Linked DNA regions of Drosophila melanogaster. The protein of the gene in region 2 interacts with the protein of the main gene of each other region in a pairwise test. Each region holds a gene or a part of one and is shown on either strand. Other genes may lie near its edges.

The links.
Region 1: the proteins of Tspo (region 2) and Hsp67Ba interact in a two-hybrid assay, tested with the Drosophila melanogaster proteins (one large-scale study listed by BioGRID).
Region 3: the proteins of Tspo (region 2) and Drsl6 interact in a two-hybrid assay, tested with the Drosophila melanogaster proteins (one large-scale study listed by BioGRID).
Region 4: the proteins of Tspo (region 2) and Sfp78E interact in a two-hybrid assay, tested with the Drosophila melanogaster proteins (one large-scale study listed by BioGRID).

The regions. Positions count from the first base shown.
Region 1 is NT_037436.4:9,376,713-9,382,610, forward strand, and holds Hsp67Ba (heat shock gene 67Ba), read right to left. Parts: upstream 2,823-5,898; 5' UTR 2,728-2,822; coding exon 1,390-2,727; 3' UTR 1,090-1,389; downstream 1-1,089. Other genes in the region: Hsp26 (heat shock protein 26), read right to left, coding at 1-476; Hsp23 (heat shock protein 23), read left to right, coding at 5,286-5,846.
Region 2 is NT_033779.5:557,056-561,741, reverse strand, and holds Tspo (translocator protein), read right to left. Parts: upstream 2,131-4,686; 5' UTR 2,044-2,130; coding exon 1,705-2,043; exon of another isoform or gene 1,646-1,704; coding exon 1,427-1,645; 3' UTR 1,219-1,426; downstream 1-1,218. Other genes in the region: uncNacbeta (putative nascent polypeptide-associated complex beta subunit), read left to right, coding at 1-948; rempA (reduced mechanoreceptor potential A), read left to right, coding at 2,980-3,126, 3,201-3,799, 3,860-4,020, 4,077-4,686.
Region 3 is NT_037436.4:3,334,492-3,338,887, forward strand, and holds Drsl6 (Drosomycin-like 6), read right to left. Parts: upstream 1,928-4,396; 5' UTR 1,872-1,927; coding exon 1,653-1,871; 3' UTR 1,541-1,652; downstream 1-1,540. Other genes in the region: CG14969 (uncharacterized protein), read right to left, coding at 1-66; Drsl1 (Drosomycin-like 1), read right to left, coding at 1,088-1,297.
Region 4 is NT_037436.4:21,681,725-21,686,417, reverse strand, and holds Sfp78E (seminal fluid protein 78E), read left to right. Parts: upstream 1-2,453; 5' UTR 2,454-2,575; coding exon 2,576-2,753; intron 2,754-2,815; coding exon 2,816-3,090; 3' UTR 3,091-3,320; downstream 3,321-4,693. Other genes in the region: CG11248 (uncharacterized protein), read right to left, coding at 3,502-3,738, 3,795-3,923, 3,985-4,693.

The DNA.
Region 1 (5,898 bases), on a different chromosome or scaffold from region 2:
ACGGTGAGCACGCCATCCGACGACAGCTGCGAGACCACTTGCTCCGCCTTGTAGCCATCGGGAACCTTGTAGCGGCGCACAAAGTGGCGCATGATGTGACCATGGTCGTCCTGGCGTTCCTCATGCTTGCCCTCGACCAAGATGGAGTCGTCCACCACCTTCACGTTGAGCTCACTGGGCTTGAACTGGGCGACGTCCATGCACACCTGGAATCCATCCTTGCCCACATGGGCGGTTGCCGGCCAGTGAATGTCGTTGCGGTTGGCCATCTCGCGCCGCAAAGCCAAAACCTGGCCGGCGGGCGACGATGGGCATATCGGCGATGCGCAAGGGCATCCGTTGATGGAACGGCGCTGCTGAGTGCCAAGGGGCAGCACGTAGCGGGAATGCGGATGCAATCCCAGTCCAAGCTCGTAGATGGGGCTGCGGGGCTCCTGGAGTTCATCCACAAGCGAAAGCAGAGTAGATAGCGACATTTTTACGTTTCCTTTAGGTTATGTTCCTTTTGCGAGATTGAAATATTTTTTCTTTGGTTAAGTTGAATGAACTTGTTTGACTTGTAAGCAAAGGTTTTTAATCCTTTTTTTTCTCGTTTGAAGTTTTGCTTTTGCGCAAAGTTGCTTTGAGTTGTTCACTGCTCGATTTTTGAATTCGATCTGTGCTCTGTTCGTCAAGCGACGCTGCTTTTATACCCGCTGGAGCTTTTCTAGAAGAGTCCGGAAAGTGACAGAAAAAGGAAAGAGTAGAGAGAGAGAAGAGAAGAGAGAGAACGTGCACAGAGAGAAAAAATTATGAATATAGCTTTGTATCGTTTGATAAACGAGGGATCAAATTAGAAATTTCTTTTATAAAAGTCTAAATTGAATGCTGCTCTAAAAACAAAAAATAAAACTAACTAACCTTTCCCAATAAATGCCATGAGTTTCGAGAAATTTTAAATGTAGTTGTTGTCGTACGCGCAAAAGCAGAGCTAGTGCGCCTGTATGAGTGAGAGAGCCGAAGTTTCTAGAGAGTTGTTGCAATTTTCTAGAAAGAGCGCAAAAGAAACAGCCGGCTAACGGCAAACAAAACAAAACGTCAGTTTTTTTTATTCTGGTTTTCCTCTTTATTAAGTACATTATTTCGTGTTTCTGTCTTTAAGTTTTACTGGAATACTTGTAGTTGTTGTCACATATGTTTTTTAGAAAATCATACATACATATAACGCCAGCAATCTCCCACTATTAGTAATTGAGTGCTTTTCCCGTCAGCTTTCTCGCTTCTTTTTTTTTGTGTGAAATGCAAGAAAAGAAAACACAAGAAACACGTATGGAATAAAACGCACGCCTACCCGTGCAGATTATTATTTGTTCTTAATTACTATTTATGTTCTTTCTTTTAGTTCAGTCTTCACTTGGCCAGTTCCTCGGTTTTGGCTGCAGTGGCTCCATTTTCGCCTTGGTTTTTGGCCAGTAGAATGGCCGCATCTACGGCTGCCAGTTCCTCGCCGCCCTTCTCCTCCACTTTCTCTACTTTATCAACCTTCTCCGCCTGCTCCTCTTTGCTGTCTTCCGTGGAGATTTCCGGTTTCTTGGCCAGCGGCATTTCCACATCCTCGGCTGCTGCGACTGCTCCATTGCCGTTATTCGAGGCAACGGGCACTTCGTTGGCATTTGCATCCTCTGCCTTTTGCTCCTCTTCGATGCTTATAACGGGATTGGGTGTGGGTTCATCCACATTGGCAGTCTCTTCGTTTTTGGCCAACGCCACTTCCATGGACTCTGATTCTGGTTCTGCAACGCCATTGTTGGCACTGGAAGTGGTTCCTGCGGTGGAAGGGGCTTCCACTGCAACAGCAGCGGCAGCAGCAGCCTCATTGGAAATGGGGGGCGAAACAGCCGGCATTTCCATCTCTGTCTCTTCCTGACCGTTGCCGTTGCTCTCGGCGAGAGTGAGCGAGAGCGAAGGAGTGGGTGTGGGTGCAGTCGGATTTAAAGTGGAAGTGGTGGCACTAGCTGCCGCCTGCTGCTCTACCTCTGACGGCTTTGGCGGCTGCGCATCCTTATCCTTCTGCTGCTGCGATATCTGCTGGATGTCTACGATGCGCTCCTGTCGTTCCAGGCTGCCTTTGACGACTGGAAGTGGTGGCGGCGCCTTCACCGTCAGAATGCCGTCCGAGGAGAGGGTCGAGTGCACCTCGTTGGGATCATAGCCCTTGGGCAGGATGTACTTGCGGATGAAGTGGCGCGAGATCACCCCGTGGCCATCCTCCTTCTCGTCGTGCTGACCCTCGACCACGATGCAGTTATCGATGGTCTTGACGGTCAGTTCGTTGGCGGCGAACTGCTTCACATTCATGCTCACCTGGAAGCCGTTCCTATTCACCACGGAGTAGGCGGATTTGCTGGCCGCCGGTTGGCCACTGGTGCTGCCGCTTGCCCCGGACGTGCCCTTATCGCCCAATTCCTTTTCCAGCTCCACCAGCGACTTATTGCAGCAAGCAGTCTTGGCTCCGGCCACACGATTGTACGGATGATGGCGATGCTGCGATGCCGCCGACTGACCCTTGATGGGCACCCACATCATTGCATTCCCACGCCCCAACCCACGACTCAGCTGTGGCAACTGTGAGGTGGCCTCCAGTGGATACAACCCGAATCCGGCCGAATCATCTATATCCATTGCCAGGCTGCGATTGAAATCGTGCAGCTCCTCGGCCAAATCTAGTATGAACGGTATCAGCGACATTTTCACTTTCTTCCTATCTGGCTAAGATATATCTTTTATTTTTTAGGTCTTGCGGGGATTGGTGTCGTCTGGGAACCGGCGGCGATCCGTTCTGGCCTCCAACTGGACTGCGTTTGAGCCCTTATGGCTGAATGTCGACGCTTTTAAGCGGCTGTGCAGCGCTGAATGGAAAACCTGGTCACTTCCAGTCGGCTTCCATGCCAGCTCCCAGGCGAAAAACTATGCAACTCCTCCAGAGAACTCACCAAGGGGAAGGGCTACCCATTAAAACAGTCAGTCAAGCCATGTACTATGCCATTTTCTGCTATATACACCGAAATAAGAGATACTTTTCCTCTACCGCAGATAGCCAGAGAACAAAGAAAGTACTCGTACTCGTAGTCGGCAAGAAACCAGACAAACCAAACTGCAACGTTGCAAAACCAAATAAAAAAGATACGTAAAAGAGGCAAACCGGCTTGAAATCGAAGCATATATGCACGAATATCCCCCCCAAGAGATGCCATCTTCCTTGTACCGGCGATATACATATATGTACTCATATATACAAATATCCATATAGACGGGGTATATGTAAAGTGGTCGTGTTGCAGCTGAATTCCCACTGCCGGCATTGAGCGAACAGCTGAGAGTCTGAGTCTCGTGCCGGTTGCCGATGCGGATTCGAGTCGCCGGCGATAAACAACTACAACAACAGCTGGCTGGCTGGCTGGCTGGCAGGGCCGCCTGGAAGCTACAAATCCGCTGTTGCCAGAGCTGGAGGATTGGCAAGCCGGCGTCGCGTAAACATGCGCAGTGACAGCGTCTGGGGCAACCCATACATATGGTATCTCCATATACATTTGTATCTACATACATACATACATACCCTGCCACACAGATGATGATGATATTGCTGGATTCGTATGTGGTTACATAGCCAAGTGCAAGCGATGGCAACCGGTTGAAAAGCTCCAAAATGCAAAAAACAACAACAACACCAACAACATCCAGACGGGGGCCAGACAGTGGAGACTTTGCTAAAAATTTACTGGGGCCCCGAACTCAGCTGCGGGATACAATTCTGTATGGCCATATATTATATTATATAGTATGTTTGTATTGATATGGTGTATCTGCCAGCTGCAGTCGGAAAAGAGCAAAAACCTTCAGAGATTGCTGCGTACGAGATGCCCCCTTGTACATACGATACATTCCCCATGTACATACACACTGGGTACTTGCTCCCATTTACCTAACCAAGGGGAAGAAATCCGCCGGACGAGCATGCTCGCACATTATGTGGCCACCTTTTTGAATAGACAACTTCCACTGCGTTGGCGTTGGATTGTCCAAGCCCTGGGCACCAAGAGTACTCTACTTCAGTGGAGGAGGAGTGGTGACAAGAAAATGGGGCCATAAATAAAAACTCGAATTATATAACAACCAGAGATTGAGTTCTATAGCAATGCCCATGTATTATATGGTTATTCAATCGCTACTGTAACAACAAATTGTAAACAAATTGTCATTTGATTTGGTTATTACGAAGTAATTCTGAATTCTAAACAATGTGTATATAAGCTGAATATTTATCAAGTTGTACCAAGCAAATGTGCAGCTAAATCTTACATACATACATATGTATTTGTCTTAAGAAATTGGTCAAATATAATAAAAGGTTACAGCCTCGTTTTCAATAAACCAAATATTGACTATTAGAATTTATTAAATGTTTTTAATGTTTTTTGGTTTATGTTTTCATCTATCGACCTTTGAAATTCAAAATAGTTGCATTACATTTTATTCAAATAATTTTTACATCCTTCGAATCCTTTATTGTATGAATGTACATATGTTCCAAATCGTATCATTTTTACATTTTCTTACTGATTGGAGTAATAATACGCTTACATCCCATGGGTTATTACCTACCCGGCATTAACCACTTATGTATTTTAATTAGATTTCCCCACTACAGAGCCCCATTCTTGGATATTAATTAAAGTTAATAGCTTAAATGCCAGGCCATAAAAAGAAGAACTGTTCTGCAGTCTCGAAGTTTCGCGAATTTACTCCATCCTTCGTGGAATATACTCCAACCTTCCTATCTGCTATGTATGTACATACATACGTGCTTACATACGTACATCTATACATACACATAATATTTGCCGGTGCTGATGCGACTTATCACTCCACCAGGCCTTTTCATTCCCACTCCCCTAGGAGATTGCTCATTTTCCATAGCGATACTCTCACTTTCAATGGCAGATAATGCGTAATTGCGGCAAATTCGAGAACTCTGCGATATTTTCAGCCCGAGAAGTTTCGTGTCCCTTCTCGATGTCGATGTTTGTGCCCCCTAGCACACAGACACGACGCGCACACACACAGCGCCGACGGGCGCACGCACACTACGATAGCGAGCGGTTGTATAAATAACCGGCACTTTCGTGCAACCGGCGTCAGTTGAATTCAAAAAGCCAAAGCGATAACAGCTAAAGCGAAAGTAACCTATCAACAAAAGAAGTTTATTCTTTGAAGGAGAATCATCTTGAAGCAATTAAAAAACAAAAATGGCAAATATTCCATTGTTGTTGAGCCTTGCCGACGATTTGGGCCGAATGTCGATGGTGCCCTTCTATGAGCCCTACTACTGCCAGCGCCAGAGGAATCCCTACTTGGCCCTGGTTGGACCGATGGAGCAGCAGCTGCGCCAGCTGGAGAAACAGGTGGGCGCCTCGTCGGGATCGTCGGGAGCCGTGTCGAAAATCGGAAAGGATGGCTTCCAGGTCTGCATGGATGTGTCGCACTTCAAGCCCAGCGAACTGGTGGTCAAAGTGCAGGACAACTCCGTCCTGGTGGAGGGCAACCATGAGGAGCGCGAAGATGACCATGGCTTCATCACTCGTCACTTTGTCCGCCGCTATGCTCTGCCACCCGGTTATGAGGCTGATAAGGTGGCCTCCACCTTGTCCTCCGATGGTGTCCTGACCATCAAGGTGCCCAAGCCACCGGCAATCGAGGATAAGGGCAACGAGCGCATCGTTCAGATCCAGCAGGTGGGACCCGCCCATCTCAATGTGAAGGAGAATCCCAAGGAGGCGGTGGAGCAGGACAATGGCAACGATAAGTAGAGGACTCGTTCCGAGAGATGCCCTGCATTATTTAACCATTATCAAAGTCATA
Region 2 (4,686 bases):
CCACCAAAGGGTGCCCCTAAACAGGATTCAGCGCCACAACAAAAGACTCCACCACCAGTTAAACAGGAAGTAGCACCAGCTAAGCAGGATGAACCACCAGCTAAGCAGGATGCACCACCAGCTAAACAGGATGCACCAGTTCCAGTTCCAGAAGTTATCAAAACGCTAGCACCGGAAGTCCCCAACGTTTCTCAGGCACCTGCACAACCTCAGGGTCAGGCTGCTCTCGCTTCTGAAAAACCAGCGGATGCGCCAAAGGCCATTGAGGAACCGAAGGCTGCACCCAAGAAGGAATCACCACCACCCACAAAACCAGTGACGGCAACAGTTCCGGTAGCACCTGCCACTCCTGCTGAGGCGCCATCTCCTCTGGCTCCCTCCACTCCGCCATCGACTCCCACCTCGGTGCCGCCCTCTGCAGCGACAGTGACTCCTCCATCTCCCGCCACGGTGACTCCTCCGTCGCCTGCTGTAGTTACTCCGCCTCAGAAACAGTCGGCGGCTCCCCAAGCGGGAATCAAGAAGCAGGAGGCAGGAACGAAGACAAAACAGCAGCAGCCAGCCAACAAGCCCCAACAACCGCAAAAGCAGCCACCAGGAGGAGCAGGAGGATCAGCTGGGCCAGGAGGGAACAAGGGCGTGCAGAAACAGCCGAACCCCAATGCCAAGCCAGCAGTTGCTCCAAAGCCGGCCCAGGCCACTCCAAAACCCGCTGCTGCTTCTCCAAAAGCATCCCCCAACCAGACGAATCCACAACAACAGCAGGGAAAAGCAGCTAACAAAGCGTCTCCTCCAAAGCAAACTGGACCAACTGGGGGGCAGCAGAAGTCGGCGGCGAACGCCTCGAAGGCCACAGCCTCCCCGAAATCGGCTGCATCCCCAAAAGCCACCTCCCCGAAGGCCGGAACTCCTACCAATCCTGCTTCCGCCTCTGGGGGTCCCAACTGATCCTCCTTCAGTCTATTTTCTAATCGGCGCCCTTGCATTTCAAACTCACTCGCATTTTCAGAGCCCATTTTCGCCTTCGTTAATCTCTGATGAACCCGGGTACTAACCGTTTTTTGATTATTTGTGGCCTTTACATTTTTGAATAAAATTATGATTTAACAAAGACTGAAGTGAATCGAGAAATTCTTTCTCAATATCTTTGGTTATTCCATTGCAATGTCACAACAAATTGTAGCCTATTAATCGTTCTCGAGAATAGCATTGAAAATTACGATTCTTTAATTTATTATTAACACATAACACATAGGGAATTTTTGAACGTGCAGCAGCATATGATACTTTGAATTTAGCGCCCCATTGGAGGCACTGCTTATCGATATTTTATCCAACTTTGCCCAGCCCTGGTTCGATAGGTCGGAAAGCCCTGCAATTTGCATGAAAGACACCCAAAATTACTTGTTTTTCGTTTATCCTGGGCTTAACTCGACTTAGCGTGGCTGCTAGAGGGCTTCTCCTCGTCCTTGGGCGCCTGCTCCTTCTCCGGGTTCAGCTTCCAGATGGCGTAGTTCAGAGCCGTCGCGAATCCCAGCCAGGCGACGTAGGGTACGAAGAGCAATCCAGCGGTCTTGTTCACTCGGTAGAACAGAACGCCGCAGGCGGACGCGGCGGCCGTGAGTGCAACTATGTCAATAAGGCCCTGGTGGATGAAGCGGATTAGACATAACACCTGGGCTTGGTGATATCAGCAGTACTCACGCCCTTGATGTTGTGCTGCCCGAAGAAAATGGGCGTCCACGCCCAGTTCAAGGCCAGCTGGGTGCCGTACGCGATCAGGGGCAGTTTGGCCGCCTCGCCGGCGAAGCCTCCGCCATCACGCCACACCAGGTAGGAGCCGTAGCCCATTCCCGCGTACAAGGAGATCCACATCGGCGCAAAGACCGAGTTGGGCGGCTTGAAGGACGGGAACTTAAGGTTGGCGTACCAGCTCTGGAGATGCTGCCTGGTCAGCCGCCCGTTATAGATGCCGCCCAGATTGGGCAGAATCACGGCCCCGGCGATGCGGAGAATGTTTCCAGCACACGGACGATCAGCCATTTTCAGAGTTCGCACTGCAAATGAGGCGCAGTAGTGGCGAACCTTCTGGTTTCACTGTTTTGTTTGCCGGTGATTTCATTCGAATGCACGAGTATTGCGAGTTAACGGGGCGAATACGCGACGGATGATTGTGTGGGTAAGCTCCAGCGATGCCAATTTGGCTAGATTTAAACTAGCTAAAGTATGTGGAATGCAACTTGAAATCAAAGACGCTAGAATTAATTAATAGAATCGCATGGTTATTTAGAGCTGTGAACATTTGATTTCTGCCATGAAGGAATTCTCATGTTTTTCTTTAACATGCTATCTGATTAATAGGGATTTAATATTTATCTGGAATTTTGGCAAAGCTGCAAAGTCATTGCTAAGCCGTTAATAGCTGGTTGTCACATGTGCAGGGGAGGAGCATAATGCTTATCAATAGATTCCAAAATGATGTAATGAATGAGTAATGTCGTCGATCTATGGAAGTAATTATTATAATTATATCTACCCATTCGTATTTATTTAAAATTATCTTCGCTGCTGGGTGTCGGAATCACCCTGTGGGTAGGCAGATTTAACAAAACCCGTTAAGTTTTGAAAATAGAAATAGAACTGTATTGTTGGGAAGTACCATATTAAATTCCCTGGAAAAGTTTTGTTTAGCTTGTTTGTTTGTTTTACCCCATGACAAATCGTGCGATCAAGTGGTGAATGATAACTTGAGAACTCATAAACCAAAGAGTTATTTGTCGGTAAAGTGAATTAATGGTGAAATAAAACTATTGTGCTTATTTGCTCTTTGCAATATCCAATAACCTGGATCAAGTTGGTATCTCAATTAATCAATTGCTTAGGAGCAACCATGACAACCGTTGCTAGGCAAACACATTGTTACTGTGTTTTGGCTCCTGCCAAAACAAATTCATCCACTAAAGGTGGAAAACCGGTGTGATGACTCTCTACTTTGACACGAAAATCGAGTTCTTGGACTCGGATGCAGTGAGCACCATCAGCAGCTGGCATCCCAGTGAGCCGCTCTTCGCAGTGGCCTCTTTTAGTCCCGAAAGAGGCGGTTCAGTGACCATCTTTGCAGATACCGTCAGTATTAATCGCTTTGGTCGCAGACCCTGCCAAAAATCGGAATGTATATAATCTATATAATCAAATTGCAGGGTGAGCCCCAGCGAGATGTAACTTATCCGGTGCACGCCACTTCGCAAGCGACGGCACTATGCTGGCATCCGGAGAAGGCGCTCCTGGCCAGCGGTTGGGAGCACGGCGACATCCATGTGTGGTTCGCTGGTCACAGGGAGTTTGCCAGCGTGAACGCACCGCACAAGGCGGCCATCGTCCTGCTGCAGTTCAGCGAGCAGGGCGGGCGGATGGTCACGGCGGATGCCATGGGCTTGGTCACCGGATGGCGCTGCGATGGCCAGTACCAGTTCCTAACCATGTTCTCCCACGACCTGCGGGAGGTGTTGCTGCTGATCTGCTTCCGCCTTACGGTGGAGAGTGAGGTGCGCGAGGAGATGGCCAATCTAGCCAAGGCTGCTGTGGCAGGCGATGAGAACGCCCTGGACACCCTAACCAATTGGAGACCGCGCACAGCAGCCCGGAGCATGACCCATTCGGGGGTGCGGGACAACCACTGCTTCTACGCTTGCACCCAAGGAGGAGTGGTGTACTACATCAACCAAGGAGGCGCCTGTGTCGAGGTGATGAAGTGCGGATCACTGCCTCCCATTGTCCAGATGTTGTGGCACCCAAGAAAGTAAAGAGCTGTTGAGATCGAAAGGTTCTTTACCTGAACCCTAACATTATTCCATTCTAGGGACGCCGTCATTTGCCTGATGGAGGACTTGACAGTCACCTTGTTTTTGGTTGAATCCACAGGCATCCTTACGGAGCTGGATCGTGTTAAAATGAGCGGACGTGGAGGCGGTCGGCAGGGAGGCATCGCGTGGTCTGGAAACTCTTTAGCCATCATAACAGGTAGGATATATTATTCGATTTTTCACTTCTGTGCTAAATTTAAGACTAATTTTCAGGCGATTTTTTCGTCCGCATTTGGGACATCGAGAGAAGCGACAATTACCTATTGAAAATGGACCTACCCAGTGGCAACCAGCCAGGCTCATCTATGACCACTTTAAGTAATGGCACCATGTCCTCGTCCAACCAATTCTTTAGCCATGACAGCAGCGAAAGCAGCGGCGTTCTCCGCAAGACACCAAAGTACGGCCAGCTGAACGGCGAAATGTTCACCTGCTTGGCATATAGCTCTACGGGACAGACTCTGTGTGCAGGAACGTCCCAGGGGAATGTCTATACTTGGAAGAGGAGCGGCAGCAGGCTAGTCGGTGCCCCCGAAGATGCCTGGCAGCTGACGAACATATCTTCCGTGCGAGGAGCCATCCGCAGCTGCGAATGGGGATACAATGAGCTAGCCAAGCCCTGCATGCTGGTCAACTGCCTTTCCAATGTTTTCATGCTGAAGGAGCAACCTCTGCTCGCCGTTCATACCCGCGAACTGTGGGCAGTTCAGAGGTCAGCCAAATCAGTGCAATTGACGCACTGCAGCGGTCGGGAGGCCATTGTTCAGTCCGAGTTCGCCGTGACTGCCATGGCTTTGAGTGAACTGAGCTTGGTGATGAGTAA
Region 3 (4,396 bases), on a different chromosome or scaffold from region 2:
CAGCAGCATGTTAAACTGTCCACTTAGAGTTAGGATAAGCCCCAAGAGTGCAATGTAACTCCGCATCTTTTGGTGTGCTTTGCTCTTCGCCTACTTGAACGAGATGAAGGAGGAAACCAGGAGGGCGAGAAGCCGGCGAATCCCCTGGTGCTTCTGTTTGTTGATACGGGTGCTCCCTTTTCGCACACCCAAGTTCTTCTATGAAATATATTCTTTCTGGAGAGGAGTGTCGGGTGAGTTGCTGTTGGCATTACTAACGAAACTCACATTCTTACCCTCTGCACACTAAACAATATCACAATTTAACAAATACTTTTATAAAATCATATATTTTTGTATTGTATTTCGGCTGGAGACATCATCCATCAATAGTTCTGCATGCATTCAGTTACCTGCACACCAAATTGTTGTCCAATTGCAATAGAAGCAATTATTTGGTGTAATTTATAAACAAAACAATAGCAATCATTTAGATGTCCAAAAATATCGGGCCTTTGACACTTCGACTTTTCTTAGTGAGGAATCGCTATGAAAGCGTGGAACATCTGGCAACGCTAAGAGGTTGGCGCGAATTTTCAAATTAACTTTTACAGTAATTGCCAGTTTTCTCACCGAAATTGTAATTGTAAAATCAATTGTCATTGATTTATTTTAATTCCCTAACCAAATTCCTCTTTTCCCCATTATGAAGATCAGCTGCTGTAAGTATCATATCAAAAATAGATCACGAAGTTTACTTTAAAATTGCACGTTTCATTTAGGCAACTGCTGATCAAACTCTGAGCATTGTTTATCATTTATTTGCGAAAAATCTGTAAACAACCCTTCACAATGAGTATATTTCAATGAAAGGAAGTTAAGTGTGTTACATAAATAGATGCAAAAAAAGCGGGGCAGTAGTAATGCTAAAATACATCGTTTTGGATATGAATGACCCAAAACAACCCCAACTTGGGGTTTTTCCATTATCAATCGAGTTCCGTATGATCAGTAAAATATATAAAAATTTTTATCCATAGATAAGAAAGGGTTGTCTATTTATTACTCCATGCACATGAATAGACTCTTCTTACATGTACATCTTTTTTTAGCATCCTTCGCACCAGCATTTTAGACTGGGGCTGCAGTGTCCACTGGTTCGCCCTTCCCTCTGGCAGATATCTACGCACTTCTTCCTGTGCCACACAGCACAGGAACCCCTATATCTTCCGGAAAGGCAGTCGGCATGTGATTCTTCCGCTCCCAGGAAAATTATCATCAAGACAGCGGACAGGACAATTAGGAACTTGATTTCCATAGTTTCGGTAGGAGGTCTGGTAACTTAGTAATTGTTGAAATGCAATCCTCAAGAAATTGATCGCTCTCAGCTCAGAATAAGCGCTTAAATACGTTCCGATCTGTAAGTTTTACACTCAGTACGACGACGCTGTGGTGAAATTTATCTCGTGGAGATAAAAATATTTACCCAGACTTTTCGGCTGCCTTTACAATTTCACCACGTGCCGAATATAACAATGCATTGATCTGAACAATAAATATTGGTTCTTGACTTGATTTTATTTTAAATAATTGTGAATGTTTAGGGAATTGAATTTTATGATTGATACATAATCATTCTGGGTCTATAGAAGTTGTCCAATTTCGGTAGAAATTCAGCATCCTTCGCACCAGCATTGCAGCCTGGCACTGCAGTGACCACTCACTCGTCCTCGTCCCTCCTCTCGGCAAACCCGCCTGCATGTCTCGTTGTCCCAGACGGCACAGGGACCTCTGTACCTTCCGGAAAGGCAGTCGGCATCGGCTTCCTTGGCGCCCAGGATGACCATCATCAGCAGAGCGAGGAAGGTGAACAGGAACTTGATTTGCATCATTTTCAGTAGTTTTCGTGGTGATTGTTTTCTTTGATGTACTAATCAATTCAGATTCGGATCGAATTTGTTTTCAAGTGCTTTCGACGAGCTTATATAGGGCTGGACTAGTCGATGTCGCTGCCAGCGTCGTTCGATTTTATTTATTGATACTACCTTTTGTCTGGATAAATATACAATACACACAATATAATTGTAAGAACGTCTCTCAATCTAGGTCCCATGAATGGTTCAAGGAAAAGCAAACAATAAATGGCGTAATGCACTTAATTATCACAACCAAAACAACAGGATAGTGATATTTGCTACTTTGTGCTTATTGCCTAAAGCACATATATTTTCGAATGCAATTCTATAAAGTTTAAATTCCAACGGAGAGCGCAAAATTCGATATAAGCATCGATAACTGCACCTAGAAGTGTGACCATGTTTCGCGAACCTCAAATACCATGACTTAATTTTCAAATTCCACTGAGAACCGGATCGGCTATTTTGAATAGCCAGTTTTTCTCTGATCGGCGATTTGACAAGACGTGCGCGCGGACTGAAAATTGGATCCCAAAACCGCTAACTGAAAAATAAATAAAGCCGTGCAAAAGAAATAAAAAGTAAAGAAACAACAAGCGGGCCAATAAGTAAAACGTAATCAGCGTTTCAATTCTCTCTTTTATTTGCGCTCTCGCTCTCTTAAGCCGCTCACATTGCACATTGTTGTTGTTATGCTCGTTGTAGTTTTTGTGCTAATTAGAAAATACCATTGTTGTTGCTTTTGCGCCGGTGTTTAAAACGCGGCTATTTCTAATTACTGCCCCAAAACAGAAATGAAAACAAAAAAAGAACAATAGAAAAAACCCACTAATCTGGTTTTTGCGTGTGAAAGCAACTGGTGTGCATTGGAATTTGTTATTAAGGTCGAAGAGCAGCAACAAGTGACAAAAATTCTTTGGCATAAATTAAAACAGAATCCCCAAAAAGCGCTGAAAAACGTTAAGATTTCTTCGGTTTTAACACTTTTTCGGCTTGTTTTTGTAACCAAAACCAAAGAACGCCGCTTATGGTCGAACAACAAAAACAACTTTCCGGTTTTTCTCCCACTTCTGCTCCCCATCCTCCTCCATTCCTTCTCCTCCTCCTGTTCGCGTTCTCTTGTTTTTTATAACCATCTTCGTCTGCATCTTTCGATTTTCACTCTGTGCGTGTGTGTGCCTGTTTGTGTGCGTGAATAAGAAAAGTGGGAAGAGTGGCGAAAGGAAGAGAAAGATCGTAGTGAAAACAGTCGGCGAAAAAACAAATAAATACGGGAATTTATGTTAATTGCAGCAGCTAAGAACGAGAACGGAAAGAAGTAGCTGCGAAGCAGGAGGCATCCAGATATCCAGAAATCTGGAGAATAAATATAATTTCTTGTGCGCCAGGATACTAACGTAAATCATTCACGCTGGATTTGGGATACTACGAGGCTGTCAAAGGTAAGCGAAGTACAAAAACCGGAATGAAAGAGAGAAGATCGTTAAAAAAAATATGGGATGTTTTACGGTCCGATGCTCCACTTTATAAGCCAATAAACCCGGCGCAAGGTGTTGCATAACATCGCTGCGGCTCCCAAAATGTAAACGGTAAAGGGCACTCCCGATCCCGGGCCGATCTTCCATTTAATACCACCTATCCACTTCCACTGTGGTCAAGTTGCGTGCGAACGGGTCGTAAAAACTGCCAGGCTGTCATATACAGACATACAGTCTAGTCTGGCTTGGAGGACCTCACTTAGCTGAAAATAGCTTAACAAGATATTAAGTATTCATAAAGTGTAACTACGAACGTGTGAGTTCCAATCTATAACTATTTCTTGTTGTAAGATCAAGTGGTTCTCAAAGCTTCTTCAAGATTCTAAAGCTTATAAAGTCTTATTTTCAAATCTTAATTAATTGCAAATCCTTACTACAAATGAGACTTCCTAGAGCGTCTCAGTTGTGGAGGCTTGCCTGTTGTTCTGCTGTGAATTAGCATAACGAGGGTACGGTGCATGGGGATTCCCTCCCCCTTTTCCCTCCGCCCGCTCTCGTTGGGCACAGGTGTCTCTAAACCAGGCTCTCTTTTTTTCTGGGCTGTGCTGGCCATTCGTAAACTAGGCTAAATAGGGTCTAAGCCCAAGCACGTTTTGGCCCCGCCCTCTTGCCGCTCCTCACCCGTTTTGGCCGTCTCGCTCTGGGCTTGGTTTATTTTTAAACCGCATTCCGCTCGTTTAGAGGCTGTCTCGCTCTGGCTGGTTGCCTGCTCGCTCGCTCATTAGGCATGCTGCAGCACCGTTAAGCGTGAAAGTTTGAGAGCCACTGGCTGCGCACCGTGATTTGCAAAGTGCAATGGCAATAAATGCATTCGCAAGACAATTGCCGCTTAAATTCAATTACACTCAACGGGTCAGCCAAGAGGCCAACGACTATCAACAAGGCCAAGGCATGGCGTCGTATGGAGTGGGGTGGTGGTGTGGGGGGTGTGTGCATCGCAGAGGCGGGGGGAAAAGCCAACGC
Region 4 (4,693 bases), on a different chromosome or scaffold from region 2:
AGGAGCAGCGCCAGCGGGAGCGGCAGACGGCGGACAGAGGACTCCAGACAATTGACAATTTAAACGAATTTCTTTCAAACACAACACTGACATGGCCCGGCACAAATGACGAATAGTGGCGGATGCCCGAGCCAAAGCCAAAGTTTACGCATGAAATATGCACCACCAGGAGGCAGAGCCAGAACTTCCCTACCCTTCCTGGCCTCCGTGGCCGGTGGCTTGTGGCCAGTTGCAGTTTCAGTTGCCAGTGGCCAGTTGTAAGCTGCAGCTCCAGGGACGCACGTCTGAAGTGTCATTCATCTGGCCATAAACGCATTATTCAATATGCACTGAGAAGAATTTGAGTGATACACCATTTCAATCAAGGTTGTCCAAAAGTCGAGAGAATATTACGTAAAGAAGCACTTTTTATTCATAATTCGGCTTTAAAATAGTTGCATTCGAAAATAGACCCAAAAATGTTTTTCTATATAGATCGTTATTAAAAACTATAATAATAATAGAAGGCTATACTTGCTAAGATGTTGCTGATGACTTGAATCATCTGTGTTCAGCAGAGACAAACTTTGGTCTGGTGAGCACTACACTCTCCAGATTTCCCCCAGTGCATCAGCTAGACAAACGAGGGATCGTCGACGAACCACAACAACTGCGGCATCAGTGGTATCAGCAGCAAGAACAACTACAGCAACAACGACGACGTCTGACTAAATGCCTCATACTGTGCGCGATCTGCGGTCAGGCTCCTCGACTGTCTGTCCGCCGGCTGATCCGTCCGATCGGCTTTCAAGGTTAACAAGTTGAATTTGCAATTTGGCACTAGGACTGACTGGCCTACCAGATTTGATGCCCTGCCGGAGCAGAAGGATCGTTTGCCCGGCAGATAGGCCATGGGACGGTGCTCGACATCGCTTCTCAATCCCTCGACAGCATCAATCGCTTTGGTGAGAATTAAATGTTTATTCCTTTTGTTTGGCCAGCACCGCTCCCTCAGCTCAACCACTCCTCACCCGCCTACTACTCCGCTTTAATGAGCGACCTGCTCAATGCACAGAACCGAAATCAAAAAATCAAAGAGTCCCAGAGAAGTACAGCGAAAAGCACTCTCATCGAATAAAATGATACCCTCGGACGGACGACACGATGTCCCCACCTTGCTGGACCTGGCTGGGAACTTGGACTCCAATAATAATAGACCTCGAACGGGTGTCAATGCGGGTAAACAGACAATTTTAAGAGATATCTGAAATTTTTACATTTCCAACATTTTTAATGAAAAACGAAATGAAATCGTAGTTATTCAACTTTTCGCCGAATTTAAGGCTATTGCCATTAAAAAGCATTCAACAATGTATCATTACTGAACAGAATAAGTAATTGTTTACGACTACATTATATTATATATATTATTATATATTATTGCTGTTGACGTTAAGAAATTATAAAAAATATATATTTACAGTATTAAGATAGGATAATTTCAATTTCAACGGAATATATAAATAATAATATTATAGATATTTGCGTATTTTATTGGTTTAGTTGTTGCCTGAGCAACACTACTTTCAATCAACTACCAGTCCACGGCACGGGCTGGAGACCCAAAGAAGGTATGGCCCCAAAGAGCATTGGAGCAAGGAGTCCGCAATAATACGACGCTGATCTATTATTCGCTAGATTGTAAAAATGTAAAAATCACGCTTTCGTGTTGTGTATAAATTGAATGCAATTTATAAATGTCCAGAACAGAATTAAATCCCCAGCCGTCGGCACAAGCCACGATCGGGTGATGGTGATTTTTCAAAATAAACAACCTTGAGCCCAAGGGCTCCGCAGCCATATACCTCCATAGCCCATGGCCCCGTGGCTCCATGGCCCCATAGCTCCAGAGATCCAGAGCCGAGAACAATTGCCAAGGCCCAGGGCAACAATAGACGGCAGCAGGCAGAGCCAAAAGGATCCGCCAGATCGGATCCCTGGGAGCCACAGATGAAAAATTGCGCCAATTGAATTTGACCAGCGATTGTTGTCGATTGCTCCTCATCGCGAGCTGGCAGCGGGAGGGGTGTCGAGGATCGGGAATCGGGCAGCCTGGCGTGGGGCCGTGGTAATCCACTGGGCGGTCGCTTAGTTTTCAACGCATTTATCAATACCCAAGTGGATCGCCCTCCTCGTGCGGGTCCCTCCGGATTCCTTTCCAGGCGTTGACAATGCCAAGGGTGTTGTCGGGTACCTACGCCTAATGCATTTCGAACGGAATGGAAAAGAATGCCACCGTCTCTGATTGGAGAATCAATTTGCCACAGCTTAAGTCACCCTGACGAAGACATGTTTCCGCTTCCAAGGCGACTTTCTAAGTGACTGATTGTGAATACAATACAGGAATAACAATTCCCAATGTAAGACGTCCGGAAACGTATATAAACTATAGTGTTATTAAATTCTGAACTCAGTTGCAGGGGTGTATCTTTGTTCTGTGGAACACACACATTACACATTAGGCTGATCCAATACATCAGCAGACTTGTTTGAATCAATCAGTCATAGAGGAAAACTGCATCAGCAAGGTTGAGCTATGAATATCTTTATCTCCTTAATATTGGTAGTGCTGGCCATTTTATCTTTTGCTGACCACACCGTGGTAAGGGTAAATCCGTATATGGAGTATTATGGATCGTACATTTATTTTAAGGCAGACGGAGATCGGCACCTAAATGAGGACTTAAATCGAGCGACGGTAAAGAAGACTAAGTGTATGGATTACATGGATACGAGTAGTATTGGAACATCTATGTTAATAATTATTTCCCCCCAGATGGTTGGCAATGTGCCGGGGTGACGTGCCCCATAAAGTTTACGGCATCTTGTAAGGTAACAAAGGTCCTAAAGCCCTCTGATCTACAGCACACTGAGCTCCTGATTTTGTGCATGGATAAAAACGATAAGCCTATGTGTGGGATAACACGAACTCGAAAAGGGGTAATACAGGAAGTTCTGGACGTGGATGAAAACGGAAATACGATATATGACAAAAAGGAAGTTATTTCGGAGAACGATGGTACTAAAATCCCTAGGTGCCCACGAAAGTAAATGATGTGCACTGATCGACTTCACACAAATATGTTTTATCTACACAAGGTTTTTAACTTTAAATGTTATGGACTATAAAAATAATTACACATTTTTGTGGCAACCAACAATGGTTTATATATCTTGTAGAAAAAATATTGGTATAGTTTGGCAATTAGTATGTATATAGAATTGGTGAAACTAACAGAATGCGTTACACATAAATAAAGATAACGAACACAAAAGACAACAAAATAAATATTTATATAAATTGAACTAAGTTGGATCTGATTGAAAATTAGGCCTATGAGACTAGGCACAAAAACTCAATTCACTAATTGCCCCTTTTAGGAAAACAAAATTTGAGACTAAACAAATAGGTACTAAATAGGAAATTTATAAGTATTTGACTGAAAACTAAATTATGCTCGTCTAAGAGTGCTCGGCCACCGCTCGAAGTTCATCCATGAGGGAGGGCATGGGCTCCACTCTCCTCCGTTCCCGACCAGCAATAATAATCCTGCTTAGCTCCTTCATATCAGACTGGCAGGCGGAAATACCCTCGCCTAATTGGCACAAATTCGGTTGGCATCGCTGACTCCGCTCAATCAGATCGAATATGAAGCTGTTGCGAGGGCGACATGTTTCATTGGCGGTTTGCTGAACGAGCTGTAAATCAATTAAGGAAATGTCAAGAGAAGCCAATCGGAGGGGAACATACTTACCTTCTTGTAGTCATCAATAAGATTAGCCACTTCATGGGCGGGTTCCTGGGGCGTGTTGCTAGCCGTCGATTTGCCCGAGTCCGAGGCCTCAAACCGCGCTCGCTCCATTACCAAAGTGTGCTCCAGACACTGTAAAAAGCAATTAATTGTGTTACAAAGAGTTACTTTAAGGGAGTAAGACATAACATACCTTAATTTTTGACAAAGCTTGCTGATGCCTTCCGCTGATCTCCGCCAGCTTCATTTTAAGCCCAGGAAGCTCTTCAGCCTTTCGATTGTTAACCCTCCCATTTCGCAGTTCCTTTCGAAGAATTTTGGCCAACTGAGGCCAGCTTTTTATATGTGGTAGCCTCCTTCCTGTTTCCATCTCAAGAACGTGACCAAGAGATCGCAAACACTCTACTGCTTTGCGTTCTTCTCGCGCAATTTCCTCCTTCTCATCTAGCAAAGACTTTACCTGGCCTTGCAGCCTTTGCATGTTAATCGACGCAGCGGAGTTTATCTTCAGATTCTCTTGGAATGTTTTCTTCAAAAGCTGTAACTCTAGTCGATTTTCCTCGTCCTGCGCTTGGCTCAATTTCTGGAGCTTTTGCAGTTCATCATTTTGTCCAGCGAACAATTCATTCAGGTGCTCCAATTCAACCGTCTTATGCTGTAGTTCTGATCGCATTTCCTGCTCCAAGCTTTGAGTAGCTTGCAGAGCATCTAACAGTTGTTGCCAGTCTGCTTCCATTTCGTTAGTGCTCTTGATTTTAGCTTCTTGCTGTTGAAGCAGTATTTGGAGCAGCGAAACTGTGTGCAATTTTTGGCTCCTGACATCCGCTAGTTGTTGTTCCAAAGTCTCAATGCGTTGAACTAAAATCGGATCTTCGAGGTCCGTTTGGGTCGCTTGGTTGTGT